Pelodiscus sinensis: one gene and its partners. The protein of the gene in region 2 purifies or fractionates together with the protein of the main gene of each other region. This does not show direct contact. Links are inferred from orthologs where the notes say so. Each region holds a gene or a part of one and is shown on either strand. Other genes may lie near its edges. The genes, in order: FBXW7, NFKB2, NFKBIB and CHUK.

Region 1 (6,853 bases), on a different chromosome or scaffold from region 2:
ATCGCCGAGCAGGGGAGTGAAGGGTGATGCTGCGGGACCAACACAGCAGCACCCCAGCTGCTCTGCTCCACCGCTTGTTGGCCGCTCGTCAGTTTCAGCAGCAGCAGCACAGAGCAGCTGGGGTGCTGCCGGGTTGGTCTCGCAGCGTCACCCCTCACCCCCCTGCTCGGCGATAACATCTGCAGTATGGGGGCTGGGAACTCTCGGCGGCGGCGCAGGGCTTCCCCTGCCTTCCTGCAAAATGACAAAAGGTTCGCCCCTTGCCACACCGTTCCCCGCCAGCAGCTCCAATTGTCCAGCTGGCTGGAGCACTTCCGGGTTCCAGTTGGTGCTGGAATATTGGGAGTGCCGGACCACTGGATGCTGGACAACTGGAGATTTACTGTACTTGTTTTTTCCTACTGAAGTTAATTTCGCTCTTTAAAATTTTACACCTGCAACTGCTGAACTCTTCTACTCCCAAATATTTTACTTAAGTATAATATATTCAGGTACAAGTTGAGCCTCTCTAGTCCATCAATCTCTGGTCTGGCAACATCCATGGTCCGACATGATTTTAATTAGCAGAACGTCCACTTATCACGGGTGTGACAAAGTATCCCATGAAGTCTGTTTATAGCAACTAGGCCTGGCTCTCAGTGTTCTGTGCTGTTATTTAGCTCTAATTTACTCCTAAATGTATTTTAAGAGCCCAGTTAAGCAGTGGAAGTGTTGGTAACGCTGCTAGACAATATTGACCTCCTATGGCTGGGCTACTCAACTTTGGAAAGTTGAGTAGCTGAGAGACACAGTAATACTCACAGCACATGCCAAAGGCTGCAACATAAGTGCGGGTTGCATATACACGCAAATATATATGCAAATATACGTAAACAGATTCTTTCACACTGATGGGCATGAATACAAAGATTAAGGCAAGACTACACAGCACACAGGCCCCATTTAAATCAGTTCTACTGATACTGATAAAATGCAATATTTACCCCATTTCCACGCATATGACAGCACTTTTAATGAGCAATGACAGTCCAGGAATTTAACTACTAAAACACATATCAACAGAAGACCATTAAATTGACTTGCCATTGTGGAGCGTGCTCCCAGGGGAGGCCATACTCAAACGATCTCACCTGCAGGCCGCACATTGAGCCCCATGTAAACCCAACCCCCTCACGGGCTGCAAACAAATGGGCCATGTGTTGAGTAGATCTGTCTTACAGTTTGACAAATTCTCTGGTTCAGCACTGGTCAGGTCCTGAGGATGTCAGACTAGAGGGGTTCAACCTATATTTTAACTTCAAAAAATGACCCCTGATCCCTATATCAACGAGGTTTAGAGACACAAAATAGAGTGAATCGTGCCATCTCCCTCTAGAGTAAAATTGTTATGTATGGGGTATTATTTGTGACCTAAGTAACAACTACTCTATAAAATAAACCCTGAAAAACGTTAAATGAAGGAACATTTAAATCACTGCACTCTATAAATTACCTTGAAAACATCCTGATCTTAACAAGTGATTGTTTAATATACAGATCCGACTGATATTTTCAGGTTGAGGTGACTGCATGGTCACCTAACTTTAGCACACTAATCCACAATTCATGTTACCTTTTAACTTATCTGTCTCTGACTTCAAAATTCATACAGGAATTTCCCATTGATAGGTGTACTTATTTTCTACTTATCAGTGCAGCACAGGCACAATATAACAAAAGTTAAAATGAATGTTTAACACAGAAATAATTATTAAGCTCTCTCTCACAAAATAAATGTCCTATAGCAGCCAATACGTATCCACAAAAAGGTATGCTTATTCTTGAATAAAAACATATTAACAATGCACTTTGAAAATTTTTGACTGAAAAGGACTAAATATAAACCAGCATCAGACATAGGGACATATTTTGTGCTTATACATATTGTTTATTCACAAATGTACCTTGCAAATGAAAGCAGCATTACAAATCTTAGAGATAAGAAACTTAAATAAAAACACAGGTTCAATTTCAGGGATATATATAGTCACTTCCATGCAGTAAAATCCGTAACTGGACCTGAAGTTTTGCAGTTTAGTTTAGTTTGATTTTCAACCAGAGCCAGCATTTTGCTTCCTACCCATCAATGTCCCATGTAGATAAAATGGTAAAGATAATTTCTATCTTTGTACTTTAAAGAGTAGCATTAGTTTTGCCAAGTTCTCAAGAAATGAGTAAAGGACATTAAGAAAAATATGTATTAAATAACTGCCAGAAAAAGGCTACATGTTAAATGTATAAAGATGACGTCTGATTCTATATAGAGAATTTTCTCTAAACTGAAAAATTATCTAAAATTTTAAGATGTCAGATGCTTCTATCATATAATATCATTGGGGAAGAATTTCATTAAAAGTAATTTTTATTTTGACATAAAGAAGATACTGCATCTTTAAGCATCCAGCAGTTTCAAAGCAACGCTAGGCTGCAATCACAACATCCATTAGAGTGTTCCACGTTTCAGAGCAAGCAAGCAAGCAAGTGGTTGTCATTGTAGCCAGTAAATCACCTGATCCTATTACAAAATCAATTACTGCAGCACATTTCTATTGCTACATAACCTGATGATAGCAAAATGATATTGGATAGCTACTGCAAGGTCAAGAAAACTGCTAGGAACAGCTCAAATTTCTCTTTTAATGTAAGTCTAAATTATAATGCATCTATTTAATGGTATATTTTAGATTTTAAATAAATATCTATATAGTTACCTTTTTTGGTTGATTGGGACATTCGGTGGATAGTCTCTGTAACTGGTCTGACGTATGGCTGCAAGATAGAAGATCAGAGCAGCAGGTCGAACAGCCCAGCCTCTTCATTAAAGAAAAAATAATGCTGCAGCCACATCCACACATTGACTTGCTCATCAGATGACTTTATTCCTTAAGAAACCAGAACTGGTACATTCCCATATATACTCAAAATTGGCTGACTGCCTCATTCTGCAGTTCCCTGGCTGAAATTAACACTGATAAACAGGAGAAAAACAAAACAAAACACGTGTTCCTCAAAAAAAAAAAAAAAAAAAAAGCCAGCCAGAGTCCCAACACGAAGCAAAATTCAACAGTAAAATATAGACAGTTTTACAAGGTAAGATGTTTTAAGGCTCTTAACTGGTTTATAAAAGGAAGAAAGGCACCTTAAGAGGAATAGATTCAAGGTGTCAGATACATTAAATTGCACACTCACTACAGTTTGTTCTTCTCCATCACTTCAAGTCCAGTTACCTACTCTAACGGCTCAGCCTATCCAACCTGTTCTTTCTCTAAGTGCACACTATTCCAATAGCCAACAGAAAAGAGCCACACCCCTCAACATCCTCCATGCACTCTATTCAAGAGCTGCTCAATATCTCAAAAAAGAACTGCTGTTGCATTGCTTAGAACAACAACAGGGAAGGGATTACTGGATGGAGGCTGACCTGCCAATCAGAGCAACTGACCTTTTATTACTCTAGTGTTCAAGAGGGACCTGTCAATACATTCAAGAAGAATGACAGACTTGTCTTCCTGTTATACTCTACAATAGATTTTCTACAATATATATTTTCTAATTTTATTGTAAATTGAATAATTTGTATGCAACAAAAGGATTGCACTGAAACATACAAAATTCTGTAAAGAAATGAGAATGGCTGCTACCAACCTATATGAGTTGTGATAACATTTAAGAAAAAAAACAAACACAAATTTAAACTAAAGGAGGACCAAGAAAGGAAAGTAAGTTGAAACATAACCTTTCTCTTATCAATCCCCAATAGAACTGTCTAGGATAAGCAGCTTTGAGAAAAAAAAGTTACACAAAGTCTTTGGCTCAGAGGAAGAATTGCACAGAAAAGCAACAGTAATTCAAAAGAGTAGTCATATCTCATAGGCTTCCAGGTCTGTTCCAAAAATATTTCATGTGCTGAAACCAAAATATGGTCTCTCAATAACACTCTCTACCTGTCTAATTGCATCTGTATAATTCGGTCTCAGTCAAAAACTTGACTGTTTCTCAGGGTATAAAATCAGTGAACCATATACTGATTTTCCCTTTTCATGTGATGGCATATTGTTATATGCCAGCATTACAAATATTTTAAAAACTTCATTTTAACCAGCTTACTAAAGTAAGCAATATGGTTTCTGAAATAAAAGGGTTCATATTAACACAAATGCTTAAAATGATTACAGGATAAAATGACTTGAAGTAAGTGTCATTTGCATTTATAGAGCTATCAGTGCTGGTCTAATTCAACAGCACCCCTATCAAAAGGTTACAAAAAAGTAGATGACGTAAAAGCAGCTTAAACATATATGTGTGTGTATGTTTATATATATATATATATGTGTGTGTTTTTATATATATATACACACACACACACACACACACACACACACACACACACACTGAAGAAAACTTCAGTTTTCTTACTGCACTGAAAGCTTAATCTGTCTCTTGCTCTCTCCTGCTCCCACCGCTTCCTTCCCTCCCCTTCCTAGGTTTAAAGCTGAATTGAGCTAGTATTGCCTCTCCCTTTCACCTTGCTCTGCCCTTTTGATTTTATGTTTCTTTTCAATCAGTTTCCAGTGGTATCTAAATATAAAGCATGCACTATAAATAGAATAAAAACCCCTTTTATAGATAAAGACTATGGATGCAAATAAGCAAAATAATGCTATAACCTTTTACTCGCCTGCTTGAGGTACTGTCTGCTGCATAGAATTTTAAATCCTCATCTGCAGATGCAATTGAGCTGGTATTGCCAAGGACTTTGCTCTTCCTGTGCTGATTCTACACGTCTATTCATTGAAAGAGCACATTATATCGAAAAATTAAAGTAATATCAGGTGAAATTACTCAGATGGATTGAAAGCAACCGACATCTAAAAATCAGCTACTGCTTTGACCAGTCACATTTCAGAGACATGTCAGACACATTGGTGAAGAAAGTCTTACTGCTGATGCATGCTTGCCAGCAATATGCAGGATGTGGAAGTGCAGAGAGCTAATGAAAAAAATTAATACACAGAATTGAAGTGCAAGGATCACGCTTTGTCCATTAATACTTCATGTCTTTCATGCCACAGTATCTCTCTTCTGAAGATGCTACTGCTTACAAAGCTGAGAGATCTTGTCAAAAACAAAACCTTTGTATCTCAGTAGACTGCAGATAAGTTCTAATAAAATATTCTAACTGTGCACAATACCTCTAATAAATGGAAAGCTTATTTTTTCCTTTGGCAGCACATAATTAAACATTACAAAATGTTAGTTCTAAACAACAACAAAAAATAATAAAATACTAATGCGCTAGGTAAAGATTTTTGGTTTAACATGGTTGTGAAATACACTAGCATTTCATTGGAATTTGTATTCCTCTTAAAAGAAATGAAACACCAGCAGTAAAGGCTGTTATTCATTATTTATGATTTTTCCCTCCTCATGTCAGTTTCCTTAATGTACTATTGATTCTCAGAACGCATACAGATGGGGCCAGTGACAGACAAACCAGATATATATAGAACAATGATCCAGAAGAGACAAAAGGAAGATGGTTTAGAGAAATACTACTATCACTGCAGAATTTTGTTTTCAGGAAAGGAAAAAACAATTCCAATAGAAGTTAATTCTGATGAAAACTTGAAATTTTTTTGCACTGAACTATTCTATAAAATATTTTCACGTGTAAAATCAGATTTTGTCTTATCTGAAAAGTGTTACTGCTACATTCAGAAAACAAGTAAGCACTCCAAACCCTGACACTGGTAATTTTGCACATAGTTTAACTGTGACAAAGGCAAGTTACCGCTGAAGTTAAAATTGTTTTTTATGAATTGAGCACAAGATCAACCTGACCTTCACTTTCCCGTTACAAACTCTAATTTATTGAGTTACCCTTCAAGTTATTCTTCAATAGAATGTATAGTAAGGCAAGCAAATGCCAGAACTATTGATATACCACTTCACAAATTTAACACCCTTATAATATTTCTATCAGTTTTAAAGTTTTAAAATAGTTTTTAATATTAGTAATTTAAAAAGGCATTAATCTTGTTCTGTAATAAAAATGCTTTATTGCAAATATCTCATTCCCTAGCAACTTATATATCCAACCACAGAATTGTAATACTTTTCTTAACAGAGGTGGACTTCATGCTAAGCTAGAACTTACTCTTCCATGAAATGTGTTATAGACTATTTTTAATTTCAGAAGCTAGAGAAAGCTAGTAGGGGAGAAGCTGTTCTAGATTTGTTTTTAACAAATAGGGAGGCACAGGTTGAGAATCTGAAAGTGGAAAGCAGTTTAGGTGGAAGTGATAATGAAATGATGAGTTCATGATTCTAACAAATAGTAAGAGTGAGACTAGCAATATAAAGAATGAATTTTAAGAAGAAAGAGTTTAGCAAACTCTGTCCCATTGGAAATAAGTCTAAGAGGAAGAACAGTTGGCAGTTTCTCAGAGACATTATTAAGGCCACAGTAGCAAACTAGCCCACCACGTAAGAAAGATAGGAAGTATAGTAAGAGACCACCATGGCTTAACCAGGAGATGTTCAATGGTCTAAAATTAAAAAAAAATAAATCAAGTCTACAAAAAGTTGGGAACTAGACTAAATTACAAAGAATGACTACAGACAAACACCACAAGTATGTAGGGGCAAAATTAGAAAAGCTGTGACAAAACAAAATCAAACTAACTAGAAGCATAACAAGAAACACTGGTAGCAAGAAAACATTCTATAAAATATATTAAAAGCAAGAGGACAAGGGACAAGGACAAGGGAGGCCCATTACTTAATAATGGGGAAAAACAATAACAAAAAACAT
Region 2 (7,481 bases):
AGGGCGCAGGCTCAGACAGGCAGCCTGTCGCCAACCACGCGACTAGGGCAAGAGACCAGGAGAGCCCCCCACAGCCCCGTCCCGCGGTACAGGAGAGCCACGAGCCCCCCGGGGTTCGCCTGCTGCTCTCCCAGGAGCAGCGCCCTGGGGGGTTCTCGCACATTAGCTCACCCGTTCCAGGCCCCCCCGGCGCTACAGCCTGCCCCGGCAAGAGCACAGGCTTGCCAGGGAGTCTCCCACGCCCGTCAGCGGATGCGCCCGTTCCGTGCGGGTGAGGCATTGGGAAGGGGGCTCCTGGGGCCGAGGTGGAGAAGAGAAGCCCCGGGAATACGTGTCTGTCCCCGCAGAGGATGCCCAGCTACCAGCCAGAGGGATCTCGGCAGGGGCTTGCTGAGGGCAGCAGCTGTGCCTGCCCAGCACCAGTGTAACTGACGCGACAGCGACCCGGCCACCGCCCGGTACCCACACAGGCCTGCCCCAGCCCCCGGTCCGTACTGTGCCGTCATGTCCTTGGGGCCCACGGTCACGATGCAATTCCCAGCCTCGTTGCACTGCTTCCCCACCAGGCTGTGGGCGTGCACCCGCGGCGGGTCGCTGTGCGTCACCAGATCCACCTCAATGCGCGCCACGCCACTGTAGTTGCAGATCTGGCGGGAGAAGGGGGAGTGAGCGGCCCTCCCTGGCTGCGGGGGAGAGGAGGGAGGGCACGGGCCTGCAACCTGTACTGCTGGCTCCCCCGGGGTCGCATTCCCCTTCTCCCCAAACCCTCGCAAGCCCCTCAGCACAGGGGCCAGTCTTATCCCAGCTTTCTTTCCCTGGAGGTTCACCTCCCACCTCCGGCCCCGGAGCAGTCTCCCTGCATGGGCACACGGGGTGCTGCGGGGAACCCCCGGACCTCAGCGCCGCGCCGCACAGCTTGCCTGGCACTCACCTTGACAGTAGGGTAAGTCTTGCGTCCCTTCTCGCTGGATGCGCCAGGCAGCCCGCCGTGCGAGGGGCCTTCACAGCCGTACCGGAACCGGAACCCACGCTGCCAAACCAGAACCCCAGTCACAGCCTGGTAGAGCCAGGGCCCCGGGCCCCACCCCACTGGGAAAAAGGCCCACACCGACCGCCTACGCCCCTTCCCTACTGCGGGGGGCACAGGTTGAGAGCCTTGGCCAGGGGACCTTACAGCTACTGTCACCCCAGCTTTGGCAGGCGGGAGCTGCGGGGCGGGAGCAGCCACGAGCGGGGCGGGAGCAGCCGTGTGCGGGGGGCGGGGCAGGAGCTGCGGGGGGGCGGGGCGGGAGCTGCGGGGGGGCGGGGCGGCTACCCGCAGAGTCCTCACCTGCTTGGGCTGCTCGATGATGATGAGATAGGGCCCTTCGGCTGCGGAGGAGAAAGGAAAGACACCGAGTGAAGCGCGCCCACCTGCACGCGGGGCCGACGGCTGGAAACCCGCTGACGGGGGCAGAGGAGAGAGGAGGAGGCAGGGTCAGTGCTGGAGGTGAAGTCAGATCACGCTCCCCCTGCAGCAGAGCCAGGGAGGGGCCCCACAGTGCCCCTGGGGTGAGCGTGCTCCGGGAAGCAGCACGGGGGGGGGCTGAGGCGGAAGGAGATGGATCAGGCCCCCCCACTCACCGGAGCCCTGCGATCCAATGGGCGGGACAGGCCCTGCGGACTGATCACCAGCCCAGCCAGGCTCCCCACGGCTGAGCGGGAATTCTCACTCCCGGGATCCGGGCCTGCCTGGGAATTCCCCTCGGCCTGGAGCCAGGCAGCTCCCTGACCCCCCCCCCGCGCAGCCAGACCCTCACCCGTCTCCATCAGCGGCTCCTTCTGCTCCATCAGGCGGGAGCTGAACTGGAAGTCGTCGTAGTCCATCCCGTCCAGGCACTGCGGGACAGGGGGAGCCTGACACCCCGCCCGGCACAGCGAGGGGTCCCGAGCCCCACACCGACCGCCCCCCATCCTTCCCCCGCCCAGCACAGCGAGGGGGGGCCCGAGCCCCGCACCGACCGGCCCCCCGATCCCTTCCCCCGCCCGGCACAGCGAGGGGGGTCCCGAGCCCCACACCGACCGCCCCCCATCCTTCCCCCGCCCAGCACAGCGAGGGGGGGCCCGAGCCCCGCACCGACCGGCCCCCCCATCCTTCCCCCCGCCCGGCACAGCGAGGGGGGGCCCGAGCCCCGCACCGACCAGCCCCCCCATCCTTCCCCCGCCCAGCACAGCGAGGGGTCCCGAGCCCCGCACCGACCGGCCCCCCCATCCTTCCCCCCGCCCGGCACAGCGAGGGGGGGCCCGAGCCCCACACCGACCGGGCCCCCCATCCTTCCCCCCGCCCGGCACAGCGAGGGGGGGCCCGAGCCCCACACCGACCGGGCCCCCCATCCTTCCCCCCGCCCGGCACAGCGAGGGGGGGCCCGAGCCCCGCACCGACCGGGCCCCCCATCCTTCCCCCCGCCCGGCACAGCGAGGGGGGGCCCGAGCCCCACACCGACCGGGCCCCCCATCCTTCCCCCCGCCCGGCACCGCGAGGGGGGGCCCGAGCCCCGCACCCACCGGCCCCCCCCATCCTTCCCCCGCCCAGCACAGCGAGGGGGGGCCCGAGCCCCGCACCGACCGGCCCCCCCATCCTTCCCCCGCCCGGCACAGCGAGGGGGGGCCCGAGCCCCGCACCCACCGGCCCCCCCCATCCTTCCCCCCGCCCGGCACAGCGAGGGGGGGCCCGAGCCCCGCACCCACCGGCCCCCCCGCCGGGTCTCACCGCGTTGTAGGGCTCGTCCATGGCGGGGCCGGGCTGCGCGGCGGGGGCGGGGCCGGGCCTGGGGGGGGAGGAAAGTTGGGGCCGGGCCGCCCGGAAAGTCCCTAGAAACCCAGCCCGGGGCTGGAAATGACGGGCCCGCGCGTCACTGGCCCCGCCCCCGGCCCCGCCCCCGCCGCCTGGCCCCGCCCCCCGCCGCCACCTGGCCTGACCCCGGCGCCCTGCACCGCCCCCCCGATCCCCCCGCCCATCCTGCCCCATAGCACCGCCCCCCCGGATCCCCCCGCCCATCCTGCCCCATAGCACCGCCCCCCCGGATCCCCCCGTCCATCCTGCCCCATAGCACCGCCCCCCCGATCCCCCCGCCCATCCTGCCCCATAGCACCGCCCCCCCGATCCCCCCGCCCATCCTGCCCCATAGCACCGCCCCCCCGATCCCCCCGCCCATCCTGCCCCATAGCACCGCCCCCCCGGATCCCCCCGTCCATCCTGCCCCATAGCACCGCCCCCCCCAGACCTCTCCTGCCCCATAGCACCGCCCCCCCGCCCATCCTGCCCCATAGCACCGCCCCCCCCCCCGGATCCCTCCGCCCATCCTGCCCCATAGCACCGCCCCCACGGATCCCCCCGTCCATCCTGCCCCATAGCACCGCCCCCCCGCCCATCCTGCCCCATAGCACCGCTCCCCCAGGATTCCCCCACCCATCCTGCCCCATAGCAGCGCCCCCCCAGGATTCCCCCGCCCATCCTACCCCATAGCACCGCCCCCCCGGATCCGCCCGCCCATCCTGCCCCATAGCACCGCCCCCCCCAGACCCCTCCTGCCCATCCTGCCCCATAGCACCGCTCCCCCCAGACCCCTCCTGCCCATCCTGCCCCATAGCACTGCTCCCCCCAGACCCCTCCTGCCCATCCTGCCCCATAGCACCGCTCCCCCCAGACCCCTCCTGCCCATCCTGCCCCATAGCACCGCTCTCCCCGGCACCCCGCTGCCTGATTTGCGGGCACCCCGCAGCACTCCACTCACTCCCCTCCATAGCCAGAAAAGCCCCCCCACTGCCCCCAGCCTTCCTACACCCCCAGCTGCCCTACAGCAGACACACTGACCCTGCAACACACAAGCCCCCTGGCCCCAGCGCACCCTTCGCCAAGCCCCCCCCACTCACCCCGCGGTTCACACACCGACTCCCCTGCCCGCCTGGTGCCCCCCTACCTTAGCCGCAGGCCGGTGCGGAATACCGACTTCTCTGCGCACATCCCCCCATGCATGGACCCTCCCTTGTCACTGCCAGGCTGGGAGCCCCACAAGCCCCTCAGCCAGAAGCACAGCCGACTCCCAGCAATGCCAGGGCTGGCTGTGGGTGACCCCGGGGCGGGGCTAGGCGAGCTATGCAAATCATTTCCTGCCCTTCTGAAACACAGAGGGAGTTTTCACCTCCAGGCCCAGAGATTCACAATCAGTCAGTCACTAGGAGGGCGCAGCGGAGAGGCAGAGCTGGGGTTGGCCCTGCCCTGGGCCGGAAACTCCGGCAGGCCGCTTGCTTTCCCCACTGCCGACTCTCGCTTCTGCTCTGAGTCGCTATTCCAGCACCAGGCTGGGCCGGAGATTCCACGGTCCAGCCTCTAGCGTCATGGGTTTGCCCCGGCCTCCCTCCTGCTGGCATGCGGCGTTCCAGCAGGTGGGCCTCTGGCTCCACCCCAGAGGTGGCCGCATTTCAGAGGCCAAGTGTTTAGGGATCCTTGGCTATGAAAGGCAACAGGGATTAACCCCTTCTGATGCTCCTCCAAGGACACAGAAACCTTGGCGAGGTAACGCAACACCAGACGGCTAGACCTGCTGTGTGTATATGCAACTGCCTCTGAGCCAGAGCATCCCAGCCCCCTCCTCCACCCCCAAGCCTGCTGCTTCGCATAATACAACATCCTCTGTGCTCAGAGCTAAGGGGCACAGAAAAGCAGCCTTGCTCCATGGCCACCTGCCCACGGCCCCATCCTCTGCCCCCCAAGCACGGAGACCGTCCCTCAGCCCCAGTCCTCTTCCAAGGCAGGTCCTGCTCATCTCTCCCCATTCCCGGGGGGCCGAGCGATACCCCCCAATGCCAGCCACTCCCTCCCCCGGGACCAGGCACAGACCCTCCCTGCCCGCCCGGCTGAGAGCAGCACTTTCCACCTCGCCCCAGAGATGGCAGCAGAATGGGGGTTGCCCAGTGAGGCACCCAGCCCCCTGGCCACAGAACAGGGCAGCTGGAGGGGAGAGACTCCGAACAGGTCGCCTCCAGGCCAGCCTTGGCGCACAGGGACTGAGGCCCTGGATCTAAGCCTCGGACTGATGCGGCAGCTGGTGCCAGTGACTCTCCCCTCCCCAGGCTGGGCCTCCACGGCCCGTTCAGCCCCTGCCAGCCACAGGGCTCCAGTCCTGTCCCCGGGCTGCGAATGGCAGGACCTGGTAGGGCAGGACCTCAGCGCAGCCCCCGGTCCCTGTCCAGATTGGCTTCTCCCCCGGCCGCGGCAGCGGCCCGGTTCCCACTCTTCGGCACTCTCACACCATGAATCACTGGCTGCCGGCAGGCCCCACCGTGGGGATTTTGGGTGCGTGGGGGAGAGCGAGGGGTAGGACGGGGATTGCACAGGCAGTGACTCATTTTCTGCAGAAGTCAAAGGGAGGAAAAAATTCTCAAGGAGATTTTCCCTCCGCTCAAAGTCTAGCCAGGGGCTGCCCTGCATGCGTGGCCGGGGGCAGCGGGACTACGTGCTCTGCCAACCAGCCACCTTGCCGGCACGGAGACACTAGGAAGAGATGCTGTGAGCGGGGAGGGGCGCCCGGGAGGAACCCCTGGGGATGCGAGGAGGACTCTGAGGAGGACCAGGGCTATTTGGCTCCTGGCAGACCCCATCACAAAGCAACCCTGGGACTCCACCACTGCCGCACGGCAGCTCACAAAGGCCACAGAGCACGGGCGGCATATCCTAGCCCCTCGCCTTGGGCACAAGGTAGATCCAGGCCAGCCCATCGTAACACAGAGCCTTTGGGACCAGGCAGCCTGGCGTTGACATGAAGGATCATGGGTGGGAGGCCCCGATGTCCTTGGGCGAAATGGATTTCCCCCAGCCGGTGTTTTAATCCACAGAGAGTCTCCTAGCAATGCAGCCAGGGCCAGGATGGACGCCTGGCATGCGGCTGTGCCCGTAGAGTGTTCTTCTGGAACATTTTCTCATCGTCTACTCCCATGTTAGAGCAGGGGAGCAAAGCAGCACACCGGGGTCTGGGATGGGCCTTAGTGCCTGAGGGAGTTTGTTCCACAGTCTCTGGAAAAGCCTGGCTCCCGCACAGAGTTGCACTGTGCCAGGAGAGCTGAGCTGTTGCCTGTCTCCTCTGGCCCTTCAGGCTCGGCTAGATCCCTTGGGCCCAGGAAGACATGCCAGAGACTGAGACCTGCTATTCCAGAGAAAGCAAGTGCAGGGCAGCCGAGCTACACCCCAGAAGCAGCTGCATTTCAGCAAGGCAGCCTGTGTAAGCACGTGGATTCCTTCAGGACAGAAGAGGCTACAAAACCATAGCAGGATACACAGCCTAAGCAGCATCCTTTTCCAGCCGGTGCCTGATGGGCCATCTTCTGCCCCCGGTCTCAGTTCCCCAGACACACTGTCTGTAGGTACCTCCCCTTCCACCTGCCCGCTGACATTTCACGCTCGCCGTGCCTACCAATACAACCCAGTATCACAGGTACTATTTTTGCCGCAGCATCTCCACATGCTGACTCACGTAGCTGATCCTCCTCCCAGCGGGCGGGGAGCACAGCCCGGGCACACGATGTCTGCTGTGAGAGCGCGGTGTTTCGGGGGCGCAGAGACCGGGGACGCAGGCCTACGCCCCATGAGCACCCACCCTGTGCTATAGCTGGTGAACCCTCTCCTCTCTCTGCACCCAGCTCCTCCTCCCCACTGCTCTTTCCTGGACGGCTTGTCGCGCTCAGTTAATTTCTTATTTGCCAGCATCCTGCTGTATTTGTAACCTCCCCATCTACCCAGGAGGTTCACCAAGCTGACCCTCGACTCAGTTATTGCCTGATCCCTTTGGAGGACAAACAGCAAGTCCTGGAGCATGGCAGACCCCGCAGGATCCCACCTGGGCACCCGGAACAACGGTGCTCAGCGTTTTCCAGGGGACAGGGAAGGCTCCCTGTTCTGCACTCCTCCGCAAGGTGTGCTCCCTGGGAGCATTCCCTGCAGGACCAGGGTGCGAGGACCAAAGGATGCAGCTGCTGCAGGAGCCTGGACCAGCATGCTAGCCTAGCACGGACTCAGGGCCGTCCTGCGGCTCACTGCAAGAGGCTCTCCTTGGGGAGAAGCCAAGGCGACTGCCTGTGCTCCAGCCAAACCAGCCCTTGGCCTGCCAGGACGGGCTTCCGTCGGCTCCCCAGGCAGCAGAGCCCAGGCTGAACGCCACTCGGAGCACCTCTAGGAAGCACCGGCCTCCCGTCGTCTGCTGGGCCTGGGCGAGCAAGGGGCTTGCTGCAGGCAGGAAGCCACAGCCCTGCGCAGACACTGGGAGCGAAGGGCTGGAAGGTAGCTGGAGAGCTCCTGTCGCTCAGCCGGCACAGAGGGACTCCCCCAGCTGGCATGCGGTTCCCGGCAGACACTGACTCCGGTGGACTTCAGAGGGAATCTTCAGGGTGAACCTGGGACATACCCTTAGGGACACTTTACAGCCGGGATGGGGAACCTACGGGCCGTG
Region 3 (7,266 bases), on a different chromosome or scaffold from region 2:
CTATTCATATTCAGCCCTTCACAGCCTTGAGGGAAATGGAGGGTAACTGGGCCACAGAGAGCTCTGGCCATGCTGGCTGGGGAAGGACACAGCATGCTCAGGACAAAGGTCCCACGTGTAACACTCCCAGGTGGGTGACGAGAGGCTCCATACCATCATAATTGGTGCAGTCCAACTGAGCCCTGGCGTCACTCCCTTCACAGGATCTGCGCATGCTCAACGATGCCAAGAGCCACTGTGCACAGTCCCGCCAGCCCTCCCGGCATGCCAGGTGCAGCGCCGTGTGGCCGCCTTTCTCCTGCACGCAGAGCCCTGCCCCGGCTGCCATCAGCTTGCGGACAAAGTTGGAGGCACCGAGGATGACTGCAATGTGCAATGCCGTCTGGGGAAGGTCAGCGAGATAGACAGGTCAGAAAGCTCTGTGGCTGATCTTCCCTAAAAAGTGCCCGGCCTACTAACACCACTACAGATCGCTTCTTTCCATGGGCTGTCACCCTAATAGCGTCACACCCCATATTCCAGACGCAGCGCTGAAAAGCAGCCACCTCTGGGCAGGCAGGCAGTGGCCAATTGCACAAGCAGGTCAGAAATTTTAGTCAAGGACACGACTATTCACACAAAAGCTGTCTCTACTACCCAGGCACAGGAGCCGACACGGTCTTGTCCTTCCTCTGCACCGTGAGCTACATGGAAGGCAGCTGATTTGCCTGGCATGAGCGCGACCACCTTACACCCTTTAAACAAAGCCCTCCCTGGCCCCGTTTACTTTGGTCCACTGCCACTGTCAATTCCCCAGCCTTCCTTACATTCCCCGGCCATATATTGGAGCAGACCAAAGCTCCAGTTAGTCCAACACCCTGTCTTCCGACAGTGGCCAGCGCCAGAGAGAAGGAACAGGTAGCCATCAGGGGATCCAGGGGAAGATGTGTTTGGATATTAGTGTCTCATTTATCAGTTGCTTGCAGGAGCATCTCCAGCATGCTAGATGCTATACAGACACAAAGCGAGGGATAGCTCCCTGCTCCAGAAAGACTGCTGTGCTCCGTAACACTCTTCCCTGCTCCCCCAACTCATTTATGATGCAGAGGAATTAATATGTGGTTGTGTTTCATCTTCCTGCCAGCAACCCAATCACTCCCTACAGGAGGTGGCATGGGCGATATCGTGTAGGAAGCTGACTAGGAGCCACTACTCCCGAGTTTTGTCCCCAACTGGCTGTACAATGTTCAGGCAAACCAATGTGGCTCTTTGTGCCTCAGTTTCCCCACTGCAATTGCCAGAGACTACAGACAGAAAAAGCTCCAGTCTTGGCCCAACCTGGCTCAGGTCATTCTGCAGATCCAAGTACTCCGTCCCGGCCGTGTACTGCAGGATAGAATCCAGAAAGGCTTCGTGTTCATGAATCACAGCCAAGTGGAGGGCTCTGGGGATGGAAGAACAGACACCACTCCAAGCAAAATAAATAAGTACCCTGCAACTGGCTGGAAATGCCACCCATGAAAGGGAAGCAATAGCAAGAAGAGGAATCGATCTAGTCAGCAAAGAGCAAGTAGCAAGGAGCTGGGGGTGCAGCAGGGAAACCAGGTGGGTGTAAAACTCCTGGGAGTGTGGGCAATAGAATAGCTGCCAACAGTGACTGAATTCCTACAGTTAATGCCTAAAGCATCCCAGAAACTGGACACCAGGGACTGCAGGCCGCGGCCGATGGAGACAGCACTGAGATATCAAGGCAGCCGGGCGGGGGGGGAAGGGGGGGGTGTTAGGACAGGGGCACAAGCCAAGCGCCCGGAGTCCAGGATGGGGGGGGGGGGGGGTTGGACGGGGCACAAGCCAAGTGCCTGGAATCCAGGATGGGGGGGGGGGGGTTGGACGGGGCACAGGCCTGGGGGGGGTTAGGACGGGGGCACAGGCCCGGGGGGGGGGAGAGGTGGGGCTCGGACGGGGGCCCAGGCCCGGGGGGGCGGGGGGCTCGGACGGGGGCCCGGGGGGCTCGGGGGGCTCGGACGGGGGCCCAGGCCCGGGGGGGCGGGGGGCTCGGGGGGCTCGATGGGGGCCCAGGCCCGGGAGGGCGGGGGGCTCGGACGGGGGCCCAGGCCCGGGGGAGCGGGGGGCTCGGACGGGGGCCCAGGCCCGGGGGAGCGGGGGGCTCGGACGGGGGCCCAGGCCCGGGGGGGGGGAGAGGTGGGGCTCGGACGGGGGCCCAGGCCCGGGGGGGGCGGGGGGCTCGGACGGGGGCCCGGGGGGCTCGGGGGGCTCGGACGGGGGCCCAGGCCCGGGGGGGCGGGGGGCTCGGGGGGCTCGATGGGGGCCCAGGCCCGGGAGGGCGGGGGGCTCGGACGGGGGCCCAGGCCCGGGGGAGCGGGGGGCTCGGACGGGGGCCCAGGCCCGGGGGAGCGGGGGGCTCGGACGGGGGCCCAGGCCCGGGGGGGCGGGGGGCTCGGACGGGGGCCCAGGCCCGGGGGGGGGGCACAGGCCCGGGGGGGGGCTAGGAGGGGGGGCCCAGGCCCGGGGGGGCGGGGCTAGGAGGGGGCCCAGGCCCGGGGGGGCGGGGCTCGGAGGGGGCACAGGCCCGGGGGGGGCTGGTCCCCCACTTACGTGTCCCCGTCCTCGGTGACGAAGCGCAGCACGTGGCGCAGCCAGGCCTCGGGGGGGCCCTGGCCGGGCGGGGGGTCCGCGACGCGCACGGAGCCCAGGCCCCGCGTCACCGCCCCCAGCGCCCCGCCCCCCTCCTCCTCCGCCGCCCCCAGCGCCGAGTCCGGCCGCTCCGGGCCGCCCGCGGGGTCGGGGGTCGGGGGGCAGGGGTCAGAGGTCACGGCCAGGCCCTCCTGGATTAGGCTGAGCTGCCCCTCCCCCAGCGAGCCCAGGCCGCTGTCGCACCAGTCCCCGTCCTCGCCCGCCTCGGCCCGCGTGGCCCCGCCCGCCGGCTCCGCCATGGCCCCCCCAGCGCCCGCCGCGGGGCACGCCGGGAAGCGGGGCGGGGCGCGGGGCAGGCCGGGAGGCGCGGGGCACGCTGGGAGGAGGGGCGGGGCGGGGCAGGGGCGCGGGGCAGGCCGGGAGGCGCGGGGCACGCTGGGAGGAGGGGCGGGGCAGCGGCGCGGGGCACGCTGGGAGGGGGGAGGCGCGGGGCACGCCGGGAGGAGTGGAGGCGCGGGGCAGGCTGGGAGCGGAGGCAGGGGCGCGGGGCAGGCCGGGAGGGGGGGCGGGGCGGGGGCAGGGGCGCGGGGCACGCCGGGAGGAGGGGCGGGGCGGGGCAGGGGCGCGGGGCACGCCGGGAGGAGCGGAGGCGCGGGGCAGGCTGGGAGCGGAGGCAGGGGCGCGGGGCAGGCCGGGAGGGGGGGCGGGGCGGGGGCAGGGGCGCGGGGCACGCCGGGAGGAGGGGCGGGGCGGGGGCGGGGGCGCGGGGCACGCCGGGAGGAGGGGCGGGGCGGGGGCGCGGGGCACGCCGGGAGATGTAGTTCTGCCGAGCGGGCGGCCCGTTTCCCTGCCGCAGTCGGGTCCGGCGGAGCCGAGCGGGGCGGGCGCCGGGGTCCATGGCCGAGCGGGACGGTGACTAGCGGGATAGCCCCGCCCCCGGGACAGCCCCCCATCCCCCAACGCCCCCCCCGCGGGCTCAGCCCCCCCATCCCCCAACGCCCCCCCCCCCGCGGGCTCAGCCCCCCATCCCCCAACGCCCCCCCCGCGGGCTCAGCCCCCCCCATCCCCGAACGCCCCCCATCCCCCAACGCCCCCCCCGCGGGCTCAGCCCCCCCCATCCCCCAACGCCCCCCATCCCCCAACGCCCCCCCCGTGGGCTCAGCCCCCCATCCCCCAACGCCCCCCCCCGCGGGCTCAGCCCCCCCCATTCCCCAACGCCCCCCCCCCGCGGGCTCAGCCCCCCCATCCCCCAACGCCCCCCCCCCGCGGGCTCAGCCCCCCCATCCCCCAACGCCCCCCATCCCCCAACGCCCCCCCCGTGGGCTCAGCCCCCCCCATCCCCCAATGCCCCCCCCCATAGCAGCGCGCCTCCCTCCCCCTTTTCGCCAGCAACTCGGGTCTCTTCTCTCCCTGCTGTCCCAGCTGCGGGGCCCGGCGGGCGCGAGGCGGAGCGGGGCGCGGACTCTCCCGTGAGTAGGGGGCGCAGCTCGGGTTCCCTTTGCAGTGCGGGGGCTCTCTGCTAACCCCTTCCCTTCTTCTCGAGCGGCCACCCACCACAGCCTGCCTGCAAAAGAACCAGGAGTCCTGGCCCCCAGCCCGCTGCTCTAACCTGCTCCACCCCATTCGCCTCCAGGGCCAGGGACAGACCCCGAGAGCCCCCACCCCACTTCCCTCCCAGTGCTGGGGCTAAAACCCAGGAGGCCTGGCTCCTCTACCATCTCCCTGCTGTATCTGGAGACCAGGCCCCTTTCCTGCAGCACAACCCAGGAGTCCTGGTTTGCCTTTGTCCCAGTCCTCAGAGGATCCTGCCACAGACACAGATGCTTCTAACACTAGCCAGTAAAACACAGAAGACGGCTTAACGGGCTGCGTTACCGGTGAACTTAACCTGCTACATTGACGCTGGCTAACTTAACCCGCTGCATTAACGTTGGCTCACGTAACCGGTGAACTTAACCAGCTACATTAACGCTGGCTTATTTAACCGACTGCGTTATCTCTGGCTTACTTAACCTATGAACTTAACCAGCTACATTAACACTGGCTTATTTAACCGACTGCGTTAACGCTGGCTTACTTAACCTGTGAACTTAACTTGCTACATTAACGCTGGCTTATTTAACCGACTGCATAAACGCTGGCTTACGTAACCGGTGAACTTAACCGGCTGCGTTAATGCTGACTTACGTAACCTGTGAACTTAACCGGCTGCGTTAACGCTGGCTTACTTAACCGGCTGCGTTAACGCTGGCTTACTTAACCGGCTGCGTTAACGCTGGCTTACTTAACCTGCTGCGTTAACGCTGGCTTACTTAACCGGCTGCATTAACGCTGGCTTACTTAACCTATGAACTTAACCGGCTGCGTTAACGCTGGCTTACTTAACCTATGAACTTAACCGGCTGCGTTAATGCTGGCTTACTTAACCGGCTACATTAACGTTGGCTTACGTAACCGGTGAACTTAACCAGCTACATTAACGCTGGCTTATTTAACCGACTGCGTTATCTCTGGCTTACTTAACCTATGAACTTAACCAGCTACATTAACACTGGCTTATTTAACCGACTGCGTTAACGCTGGCTTACTTAACCTGTGAACTTAACTTGCTACATTAACGCTGGCTTACTTAACCTATGAACTTAACCGGCTGCGTTAACGCTGGCTTACTTAACTGGCTGCATTAACGCTGGCTTACTTAACCTATGAACTTAACCGGCTGCGTTAACGCTGGCTTACGTAACCGGTGAACTTAACCGGCTGCGTTAATGCTGACTTACGTAACCTGTGAACTTAACCGGCTGCGTTAACGCTGGCTTACTTAACCTATGAACTTAACTGGCTGCGTTAACGCTGGCTTACTTAACTGGCTGCATTAACGCTGGCTTACTTACCCTATGAACTTAACCGGCTGCATTAACGCTGGCTTACTTACCCTATGAACTTAACCGGCTGCGTTAACGCTGGCTTACTTAACCTATGAACTTAACCAGCTGCGTTAATGCTGGCTTACTTAACCTATGAACTTAACCGGCTGCGTTAACACTGGCTTACTTAACCTATGAACTTAACCGGCTGCGTTAACACTGGCTTACTTAACTGGCTACATTAACGCTGGCTTACTTAACCTATGAACTTAACCAGCTGCGTTAATGCTGGCTTACTTAACCTGTGAACTTAACCAGCTGCGTTAACGCTGGCTTACTTAACCTATGAACTTAACCGGCTGCGTTAACACTGGCTTACTTAACTGGCTGCATTAACGCTGGCTTACTTAACCTATGAACTTAACTGTCTGATCTTTGTGTGTTTTTTCTGTTATTCAGGACTCTGATTCTGACTCGGAAAACGGTGGTGCTTCTGGAGAGTCTGAAAGTAGGTAACTTGTGCTGTATTGTAGGGGAAGGGATGGGGAGCATGGGGCGGCCGAGTAGCATGATACACAGGGGAGAGCCTGGGAGAGCCTGCTGGGTCTGTCAATCTATCCCTGTTCCTTCCTCTCAGGGGGGCCTAATGCCTCAGGTGATTAACGTGAATAGGGGTAAATCATCTGTCGTTAAACCAGCTCTTTCTGTCCGGGCTTCGAGGCAAAAATTGGTCTGTGGCTGGAATTGGGATTGAATAATCTTTCTCAATTATCTTCAGGCCCCTGTCGCTGTAGTTTCTGAAAGCCTCTGTTTCTGACATATTTGTTCCCATAACTCCCTGGGAGGCAGGGCAGTGCCACAGAAGGGGAAACTGAGGCCAGTCCGGTGACACCACCTTTGCAAAAGACGTTATTTAAACAGACAGGCACGCTTTTCTGCTGTCTGCACTGCGGGTTCTGCTAAGCACGGCTGTGTCAACTAGCGGGTGTGAACACCCCCAGCCAACTGAAGCGTGTAACATACGCCAGGCCCCAGCGACTCCTCGCACGAGTAGTCAGTTGCAGAGCTGTGCCTTGAACCTAAACAATGGGCCCTTCCGTCCGTGCCGGGTTCTCCTGTCGTTCCCAGTGCACTCACACACCCTCTTTTCCCTTTTAAGTCTTCAAGGCACTTTCTAAATATTAACTAACCTTCAAAACGACCTCCTTCTGTGACATTGGGAAATGGAGTCCTGAGGGGGAAACTGAGGCTCGAGGACGAGAACTGCCGTGCCCAAGGCTGCTCAGCAAATCCGTGGAGCTAGGATTAGAAACCAGGCCTCCTGGCTCTCAGTCCCCTTGCTCTAACTATTAGACCCTACTCCCTTCCCAGAGCTGGGACCAGAGCCCAGGAATACACAGCTAACTTTGCTTGTCCTCTCCCTTTCAGTGGATTTCCTGCGAAATCTCCTGTCCCGGACGCTGGGCCTGGGCAGTGAGAAACCGGAGAAGGTGCTGGATGAGCTGACACTAGATGGTGTGAGCCGCTTCATGCTGAGTGAGAAGTGTAAGCTGGGTCCCCTCTTGGGAGGCAGCTGCTCTGAGACTGAACCAGAGCGACTCTCATCCTGATTTCCCCCCTCACAGTGGGAAGGGAAAGGGGTTGAGGGAGAGGCTGTGGGCTAGCGGGGCTGTCTAGGGGCAGGCCTGGAGCAGACCAAGGGATGTGGCAGGGACTCCATGTTGGTGTAACTTACAAGCAGGGGCACAGGTGTCACTTACACATT
Region 4 (7,543 bases), about 4.4 Mb from region 2:
CAATGGAAAGCATGACGAAAATCTTGATACAGGTATTTCAGAAGATCAACAAGCAGATGAATCAATAAAATGTGTTTCAAATGTGAAGACAGAGAGGGCACATCTACACAGCAGTGCTAAACTCGAAATAAACGACAACTTGAGCTTTGCTAATTGAGTAGCTTAAGTTGAAATAGCTTATTTCGACTTTTAGTGCTGTCTACACAGCAGTTATTTTGAAATAGAGCACTCTTCCCCGACCTCCTTTACTCCTCATACAATGAGGTTTATCAAAGTCGGAGTAAGAAGCCTATTATTTCGATTTTATTTCAAAATAACGGACTTCCTGTGTAGAAGTGCTCTGCATTATTCAAAAATAATGCTGCTGTGTAGCCTAAGATTTCTTTTCCCAAAACATTTAATGTTAGAAGCATGATGGCCAGCACATAATTGTCAACAAGTTTACTCCAGTAAGTTACCCAGGGGCAATAAACAGAATTCAGATTTTCTAAGAATAGGCAGATCATGGATGAGTCGAAAGAATCTTCAGGCTAAGGATTGGAGTGGGACAAGAGTTTTGGGTTCAAATCCCAGCAGTAAAGAATATTCCATCCTGGATGAAACTAACATATGAACTAGAGCTAAACTAAAGCTAGGAACTGGGAAGGTCCCCTGCTGCCAAGGGCTGAAATGAAAAAATGTCACTGGTCACAAAAAAGTCAGATTTTGTGACCTCCATGACAATCGTAGCCTCAAATTCAGGCCATTAAGTTTCACCTCGTTACCTTTATATTTAGTCCAATGACTTGGGTTCAACTAAACTGTTGTGACCCACAAGCAGATGGGAGAGATGGAGGTGGCACAAATGCAGGAGGCCCCTTCAACAGCATGAAATTGATTAGTAGAGCCCTATGCCTACACAAATGTTTCCACAGATGCAGATATCTGCGGATAGACATCAGTATCTGCTGACCTGAAGGGCTCTACTGTCAAGAGGCAGTGTGACTAAAGGAGAAGAACATGGTGATTAAACAGTGGAATAAACTGCCTAGGGAGACTGTGGAATCTCCATCACTGGAGATATTTAAGAGAAGGTTAGATAGACTATCAGGGATGATCTAGATTGGGCTTGGTCCTGCTGTGAGGGCAGGAGACTGGACTCGATGACCTCTCAAGGTCCCTTCCAGTTCTAGTATTCTATGATTCCATGGTCCCATTGCTCCTAGGAGCCAGTGCCCTGCGCCAGCAGCTCGTCTCAGCAGTGTGATTGTACGCCCCCTCCCCCAACCCTGCCATCTTCTGTCTGAGGTCCTACAGCCCCGCTAGGGGTGGTACTGGAGACAGTACAGCCACATGGCAGGAAGGAGTTGTTGTCACTGGCTTCTGGGAATGACAAGATGACCATGCTCCTCTCTTTGGTTACAGTGCCTCTTGGGAGTAGAGCTCTACAGGTCAACATATGCCAATGTTGATCAGCAGATATGTGCATCCACAGACAGATATTTGTATCCCCACAGGGCTCTACTGATTAAGTTAGCCATGGCCATATGACCCCTGAAAGTGAACCATACCCCATACCATCCTCCCTGACCCCAAATCTGGCAGTCAGTACGACAAGATTTTTTTAAGACTCCAAACAATGGTAGTTGCCCCACTTCTCAAGTAAACTGTTCCAATGCTAGGAAACCTTGTCTCGTTTCAGGATTGAATTTGTCCAATTTCAGCTTCCAGCTCTAAGACCCCATTCTCTGTTTACCAGGTTTAAAAAAAATCCATTTTGAGCTCCCTTTTGTGTTTATTAGTGCCTAGATGCATTGATCAAGTCACCTCTCAATGTTCTCTCTGATATTAAAGTAATCAAAATGCAAAACCGCCAAAAGTATTTCTATGAACCCGTCTCACAATGTTCACTTCTGTGCCAAGAGCAAACAGACACACCTCACTGCCAAGCGTAGTTTTCCCATCAAACTGCAAGACCACGAAAAGAAGAGCTTTTTAAATGTATCATAATTACAGTGTTTTCCCTTTATGGTATCAGTGTAAAACTGTTTTTAAAATACAGCTCTTTCCCTGGAGGCTAACGATAACCTTCTTTAGAACAACAAATAGTCTGGTTGCAGTTTAACAAAACATGTAGATGGCATCACACCACCACCTACATGTTTTGTTAGTCTTTAAAGTGCTACCAGACTATTTGTTGTTTTTTAAGTTTCCCCTGTACAGACTAACTCGGCTACCCCCTGAAGCTTGAGAGTGAATAAGACCGAAAGAAGTCTGTAGCTAGTGACATCTCTGAAGGGGAAACGCTCCCCCGTGGATCTGAGAACACTGCCTCCCAAAAGCAAAAGACAAGGCCATGATGCAACCTACTTACTTCTTCATTATCTGGATTTCATGGCACCACCGGTCTTTGTTTTTGGTGCTGAGTTCCAACCGGCAAGATTTGATGGCGATCTTGTCACCCCGCTCCTGCAACACAAACAGTCACAGGTGCTGCGGCCCCAGCCGGGTTGCAAGAGGCTGGAGCAGAAGGGCACGGTGCGGGGGGGTCAGTGTCGGGCCAGAAAGCTGGGGGACGGGAGGGGGCCAAGGGGGGGTTAAGGGGGGGGTCAATCCATTAGCCTGATCCCAGTGACCAGCCCCAAATACCCCCCCTCCACACAGATCCCCCCCCCCGCTGCACACGGGTGGCGGTGCGGGGGCAGGAGCCCCTGGGAGGAGAGTGAGCGGGGGGGGGGAGGGGTTACCCAGCAGGCTTTGCGGGGTGACCCGGCAGCGACGGGCCGGGCTCCCGGGGGGGCGGGGCGACTGACAGGGCGAACCCGGGGGGGAGGGGTCGGCGCCGCCCCCCCGCACCTGGTGCTGGTAGAGACAGACGTTGCCGAAGCCGCCCGTCCCCAGCCGCTCCCGCATCTCCCAGGGGCCGCAGCTGCCCGCGGGCTGCCCCCGCAGCGCCGCGCCCACCGGGGGCCGCTCCATGCCTCGCCCGGGCCCCGGCCGCTCGCCCGGAAACCAGCGCGCGCGTCACTTCCCGCCGGGCGGGGGCGGGGAACGGCGTCGCTCGCGCTTCCCGCCCCTCCTCCTCGCCAACGGCCGAGGCGCGTGCGGGAGCCCGTGGCCCCGCCCACCCGACAGCGACGAGGGAGCGCGCGGTCCGCATGCAGATCAAGCCACGCCTCCCCGGCTGAGCCACGCCCCTCGGCCTCACCTCCCTGCAGGGGCGGGGATGTGTTGCAGCACGTGCCCTGCGCGTGGCGCCTGGAGCAGAGCTCTGCGGGAGCTTTGCGGGGGGGGGCAGCGCCACCCATTCCTCCCCCCGGGTAGGCTTGGTAGGACTTGATTTGTATCAGAGCCTGTCAGCTTCCCCACAGCTGGAAAAAACATCTGCATCAGTTACAGCCCCAGATTACAGAGAAGCAGCAACTCAGGAACATGCCACGCCATTTAAGGGTACTTGTTATAGTTTGGACAGCGTGTGTTTACAAGGCAAAGTGCTTTATAAATGTGTCTGTCATTAAATAACTGTCTGACCCCCTCCCATAATTTCCTTTAACTTAAAACTTAAATAGGTAAGAATCTAAAAAATTGCCTTAATTAAACATGTGTCAAAATTTATTGTAATAAAAACAAATTCTGCCAAGTCCCTTCATGAACAAAGTAACCAAAAACTTCATAAAGGTACAATTAGGGCTACTCAGATGCAGTCCTCACTTTTCATTTTTAAAAGTCATTTTACTATGGAAAATGAAATGTAAACTAGGCAGCACTACCTTACCGCAGATGCCATACATTCAGGCTGCATCTAGACTGGCAAGTTTTTCCGCAAAAGCAACTGCTTTTGCGGAAAAACTTGCCAATTGTCTACACCGGCTGCTTGATTTTGCACAAAAGCACTGACGTTCTACTGTCCGAAATCAGTGCTTCTTGTGCAAATGCTTTGACGTTCCCGTTCGGGCAAAAGCCCTTTTCCAGAAACATTTTTGCACAAGAGGGCCAGTGTAGACAGCTAAAAGCTGTTTTGCGCAAAAAAGCCCCAATGGCGCAAATGGCAATCGGGGCTTTCTTGCGCAAAACTGCGTCTAGATTAGCATGAACGCTTTTCCGCAAAAAGTGCTTTTGCAGAAAAGCGTCCGTGCCAATCTAGATGCTCTTTTCCGCAAATGCTTTTAACAGAAAAACTTTTCCGTTAAAAGCATTTGCGGAAAATCATGCCAGTCTAGACGTAGCCACATGGTTTTGCATCACTGCCTTCATCTCTTCATTTTAAGTACAATTGTATATTACCTAACGGTGGCTAGTAATTTGGACACACTATATAGATAAATAACTGGAGGCACATGGAATCTCCACAAATATGAAACTCCAGATCTCATTCCGCAAATGGACAAAAGAAAGGAGGGGCTTCTGGTTAAAGACAGGACTGAGTCGGGAGATGTGTTCTGTTTTTGCCGCCATGCTGCTGCCCAACCTTGTGCAAGTGACTTCACATTTCAATCCCTCAGTTGCCTCATCTTTAAATATATATTCCTCTTTTGTAAGTGACCAAGAGCCACAAATAAGCTCTTAAAGAGCTTAATGTTATTTTACTAAACATTTACTTTAAGTTAGTAATTCATCATTTTTCTAAGCCAATATCTTAATGCCAGCTCCCCTCTGAACTGCTGTAAAAGTGCATCTCTGATGGGTATATCAAATATATATTTTATGCTAAACATGATAAAAGTTATAGGAAAAACAAATTTTCCAAACTGCAAGGGAAGCACCTGGAAGCAGACTGGGACTCAGGAGGGGTCAGAGAGAGCTTTGGATTCAGGACCAACCCGGATGGACTTTCCTGTAACTCTGTTCCCTTGTTTACCAAGGACTTTCTTCATTGTGTTCCTGACTATTAATAAATCCTTCTGCTTTTTACAACACTGTCTGAAAGTCACTCCAGATTAAGGAATTTAGGGGTGCATTGCTCCACTTGGGTGTGCAAGTTTTCCCCAAGAGTCCAGTTCAAAGAGACTCACTGAGGGGAACTTAGGATGTGAAACTGGGGTACTGAAGGCTCATAGGTTTGGGCCCAAGAGGCAAGATGGTAATATAACATTGCAAATACACAAAGTGCTATTATTGTGCAATGTCAGGCCCAGCTACCATAGGATGTGAATTAAAGAATTAAGTTTTCATAAATAGACTTTTATTACAAACTCATAAAACCAAAAATAACTGTAACTGAATGAAACTCTACAAATACAGGGAAAATAACTTTTGAAGGGGAAAGAATAGCCATTCTCATGTCACACACACAATGTGTCTCATTCATCAGCATATATGCAGTTCTGACTGCGTGTACTCTCCCTCAGGGTGATGTGGTAGAACTGCAGTAGCACAGAAACACGTGGAGAATGTGGGGGCAGGAAGTGTAGAGAGGTCTCAGAATGCAGTTATCAATAGACTGCAACGGGAGGCAAACCAGGGTTACTTGCACCTGAAGTCTCCAACATGTCCGTCTGGCGCTGAGCGCGCTAACATGAACTGCTGCACGTTTCTGTCCTTTTCTTCTTTGTTTCTCCTCTCTGCACTAACCCTTTCCACTCGCCCCACAAAGGTGCTTCTGCAAGCCCTCTACTCAGTGTGTGCAGCACCAGAGGCTGGCAGGATCTCTTGGAACAGGTTGACCCCACATCCCTTTTCTTCTCCTGATCTGAGCTGCTCCAGTAGTGTGGATGGAGGAACCCTCAAAGCCACATTTCCAGCTGCAAAAAGCACAATGCACAGAGATATTATTATGAGTGTTTTCACTCCCCTTGAGCCACACAAGCCACAAGTAGGGATGTTAGTGTCTAAGCCGAATAACTGTTTACCCGATTGTTAATCTATAAGCAATTGCCTGTCCCAATTAACCACAACACACAAACACTCTCTCTTTCTCTCTCTCCTTCCCTCCCTTTAAAATTTGCACCAGCAGGCTGGTTCAGTCCCAACACACTGGTCCGAGTTTTAAATGAAGAGCCCGCAGGGAAGCTGCCTGCCACACTGTGCTGCTGCCTCTAATGCAGAGGCAGCAGCATGGGTCAGCAGGCAGAAACTGGTCTATGCAGAGAGCTGGTTTAAAAAACAGCTCCCACCTGCCTCTCTGCACTGTTGACACTGCATCAGAGGTAGCACCAAAGGGTGTTGGCAGCCCCTGTCCACAGAGGGCCTGAGCTCCCAGCACGAAGCATCTTTATGTTTGTATGCTGAAACCAAAGTAAAAGCATAATGAATTTGCACATCTCAGCCTGCTGAAAATCATGCCCTTATGCTTCCCAGTGCACAGGGGGTATTAAACTCTTGCATTCCTTTAAATAGTCATGCAAACATATTTGTGCCACTGCCCAGAAGCTACCCAATCATCTCTTCAGGAAGACCAGGAACTTCCTATACTAGAAAAAAACCCACTATTGATACTCATTGTCTGGTTTTATTCATGGAATCTAGCTGCTTTATGAAGTCTTATATTTTTGTTCCCATTTCCTCACCGGAGCTCCCTCTGAGCCAGACCGAGTAAAGACTCAACTTTGCTTGAAATCAGGCTTCTTCTCTGTGTAATGCTGATCAGGCAGCTGCATGAAGTCAAACCACCGTGTGTCGGAGTTAAAAGAAAACATGGACTTTATTTTTTAGCTTGTCCCTACTTCTGCCGCAGATGTGGTTTCCAAGGAGTAATGGGTCCGAAGGACACAGCAAGCTAGTCTGCTGCTAGTTATTTATTGATCCAACAAGAAGAGCAGGAACTATTTAAGCTCTATCCAGACAAGGGAACCCAAAAGCTAGTCAGCTGGCATAAACTGGTACTATTCCACTGAAGCAAATAAAGCTGCACCTGCTCTTCCAACAACAAATTCTGTTGATCTCAGAGACATGACTGGCACACCAACAAAGACTTCTTTCTTATATCCACCCACCACAGAAAAGTCCGGCTCTCTCTGACTTCTAACCTTTTATTTACCGTTACCCTATAGCAGTCCTACAGTATCTTCCAATAAAAATGCCTACAACTTAACTCTGGTCATGTAAGGATATTTTTTAATGAAATGGCAAACTAAAAAGGATTAAGATTAAATAAATAAGTGAAAATCTTGTTTCTTACTTGCTGGATATCCAAGTGCTCTGGGATTTCTAGTAATTCAATTTGTCATTCTTGCACCTGTACAATAAAGGATTCTAATGTCTTCAGTATCTCAACAGTGAGTGTACAGGAATCACCTGGCGATGGACAACATAATGAGAAAGAGATACAAACCATACTATTCTCCTAGTAGATAAGGCAATAAATCCATCATTGGGGCTTGCACACCCCTCAGCACTGCTTTTCATCACACGAGACAGATCACCTGTCTCTACAGACTTAAACTTATGAGGCAGGTCTGCCTTGTAGGAGATGGAAGAATAACTGAAAACTAGAAGTTCTGGAAAAGTTTTCATGACAGTCCTTCTCCTTTATACTCTTTGTGGTAGGGTGAGGCCGCTCTGACACTGTCACAGATCCGCCAGGCAGAAAACCACCACAATGCTCCCTTCCATAATCAATTCAGCA

What was found.
Region 1: the proteins of NFKB2 (region 2) and FBXW7 purify together in Homo sapiens (affinity purification with mass spectrometry; 7 studies listed by BioGRID and IntAct, with this or other methods). This does not show direct contact. The link is inferred for Pelodiscus sinensis from reciprocal best matches to the Homo sapiens genes NFKB2 and FBXW7.
Region 3: the proteins of NFKB2 (region 2) and NFKBIB purify together in Homo sapiens (affinity purification with mass spectrometry; 4 studies listed by BioGRID and IntAct, counting the BioPlex papers as one, with this or other methods). This does not show direct contact. The link is inferred for Pelodiscus sinensis from reciprocal best matches to the Homo sapiens genes NFKB2 and NFKBIB.
Region 4: the proteins of NFKB2 (region 2) and CHUK purify together in Homo sapiens (affinity purification with western blotting; 4 studies listed by BioGRID and IntAct, with this or other methods). This does not show direct contact. The link is inferred for Pelodiscus sinensis from reciprocal best matches to the Homo sapiens genes NFKB2 and CHUK.

Annotation. Positions count from the first base shown.
Region 1 is NC_134715.1:55,466,764-55,473,616, forward strand, and holds the start of FBXW7 (F-box/WD repeat-containing protein 7), read right to left. Parts: upstream 3,013-6,853; 5' UTR 2,907-3,012; coding exon 2,751-2,906; intron 1-2,750. UniProt on the Homo sapiens protein: Substrate recognition component of a SCF (SKP1-CUL1-F-box protein) E3 ubiquitin-protein ligase complex which mediates the ubiquitination and subsequent proteasomal degradation of target proteins.
Region 2 is NC_134718.1:2,691,913-2,699,393, reverse strand, and holds the start of NFKB2 (nuclear factor NF-kappa-B p100 subunit), read right to left. Parts: upstream 3,017-7,481; 5' UTR 3,008-3,016; coding exon 2,750-3,007; intron 1,879-2,749; coding exon 1,800-1,878; intron 1,444-1,799; coding exon of another isoform or gene 1,372-1,443; coding exon 1,331-1,371; intron 1,031-1,330; coding exon 932-1,030; intron 648-931; coding exon 496-647; intron 1-495. UniProt on the Homo sapiens protein: NF-kappa-B is a pleiotropic transcription factor present in almost all cell types and is the endpoint of a series of signal transduction events that are initiated by a vast array of stimuli related to many biological processes such as inflammation, immunity, differentiation, cell growth, tumorigenesis and apoptosis.
Region 3 is NW_027465946.1:251,543-258,808, reverse strand, and holds the start of NFKBIB (NF-kappa-B inhibitor beta), read right to left. Parts: upstream 3,020-7,266; 5' UTR 2,934-3,019; coding exon 2,596-2,933; intron 1,424-2,595; coding exon 1,318-1,423; intron 383-1,317; coding exon 154-382; intron 1-153. Other genes in the region: SIRT2 (NAD-dependent protein deacetylase sirtuin-2), read left to right, coding at 3,531-3,546, 4,057-4,103, 5,961-6,009, 6,930-7,046. UniProt on the Homo sapiens protein: Inhibits NF-kappa-B by complexing with and trapping it in the cytoplasm.
Region 4 is NC_134718.1:7,059,416-7,066,958, forward strand, and holds the start of CHUK (inhibitor of nuclear factor kappa-B kinase subunit alpha), read right to left. Parts: upstream 3,017-7,543; 5' UTR 2,959-3,016; coding exon 2,836-2,958; intron 2,449-2,835; coding exon 2,354-2,448; intron 1-2,353.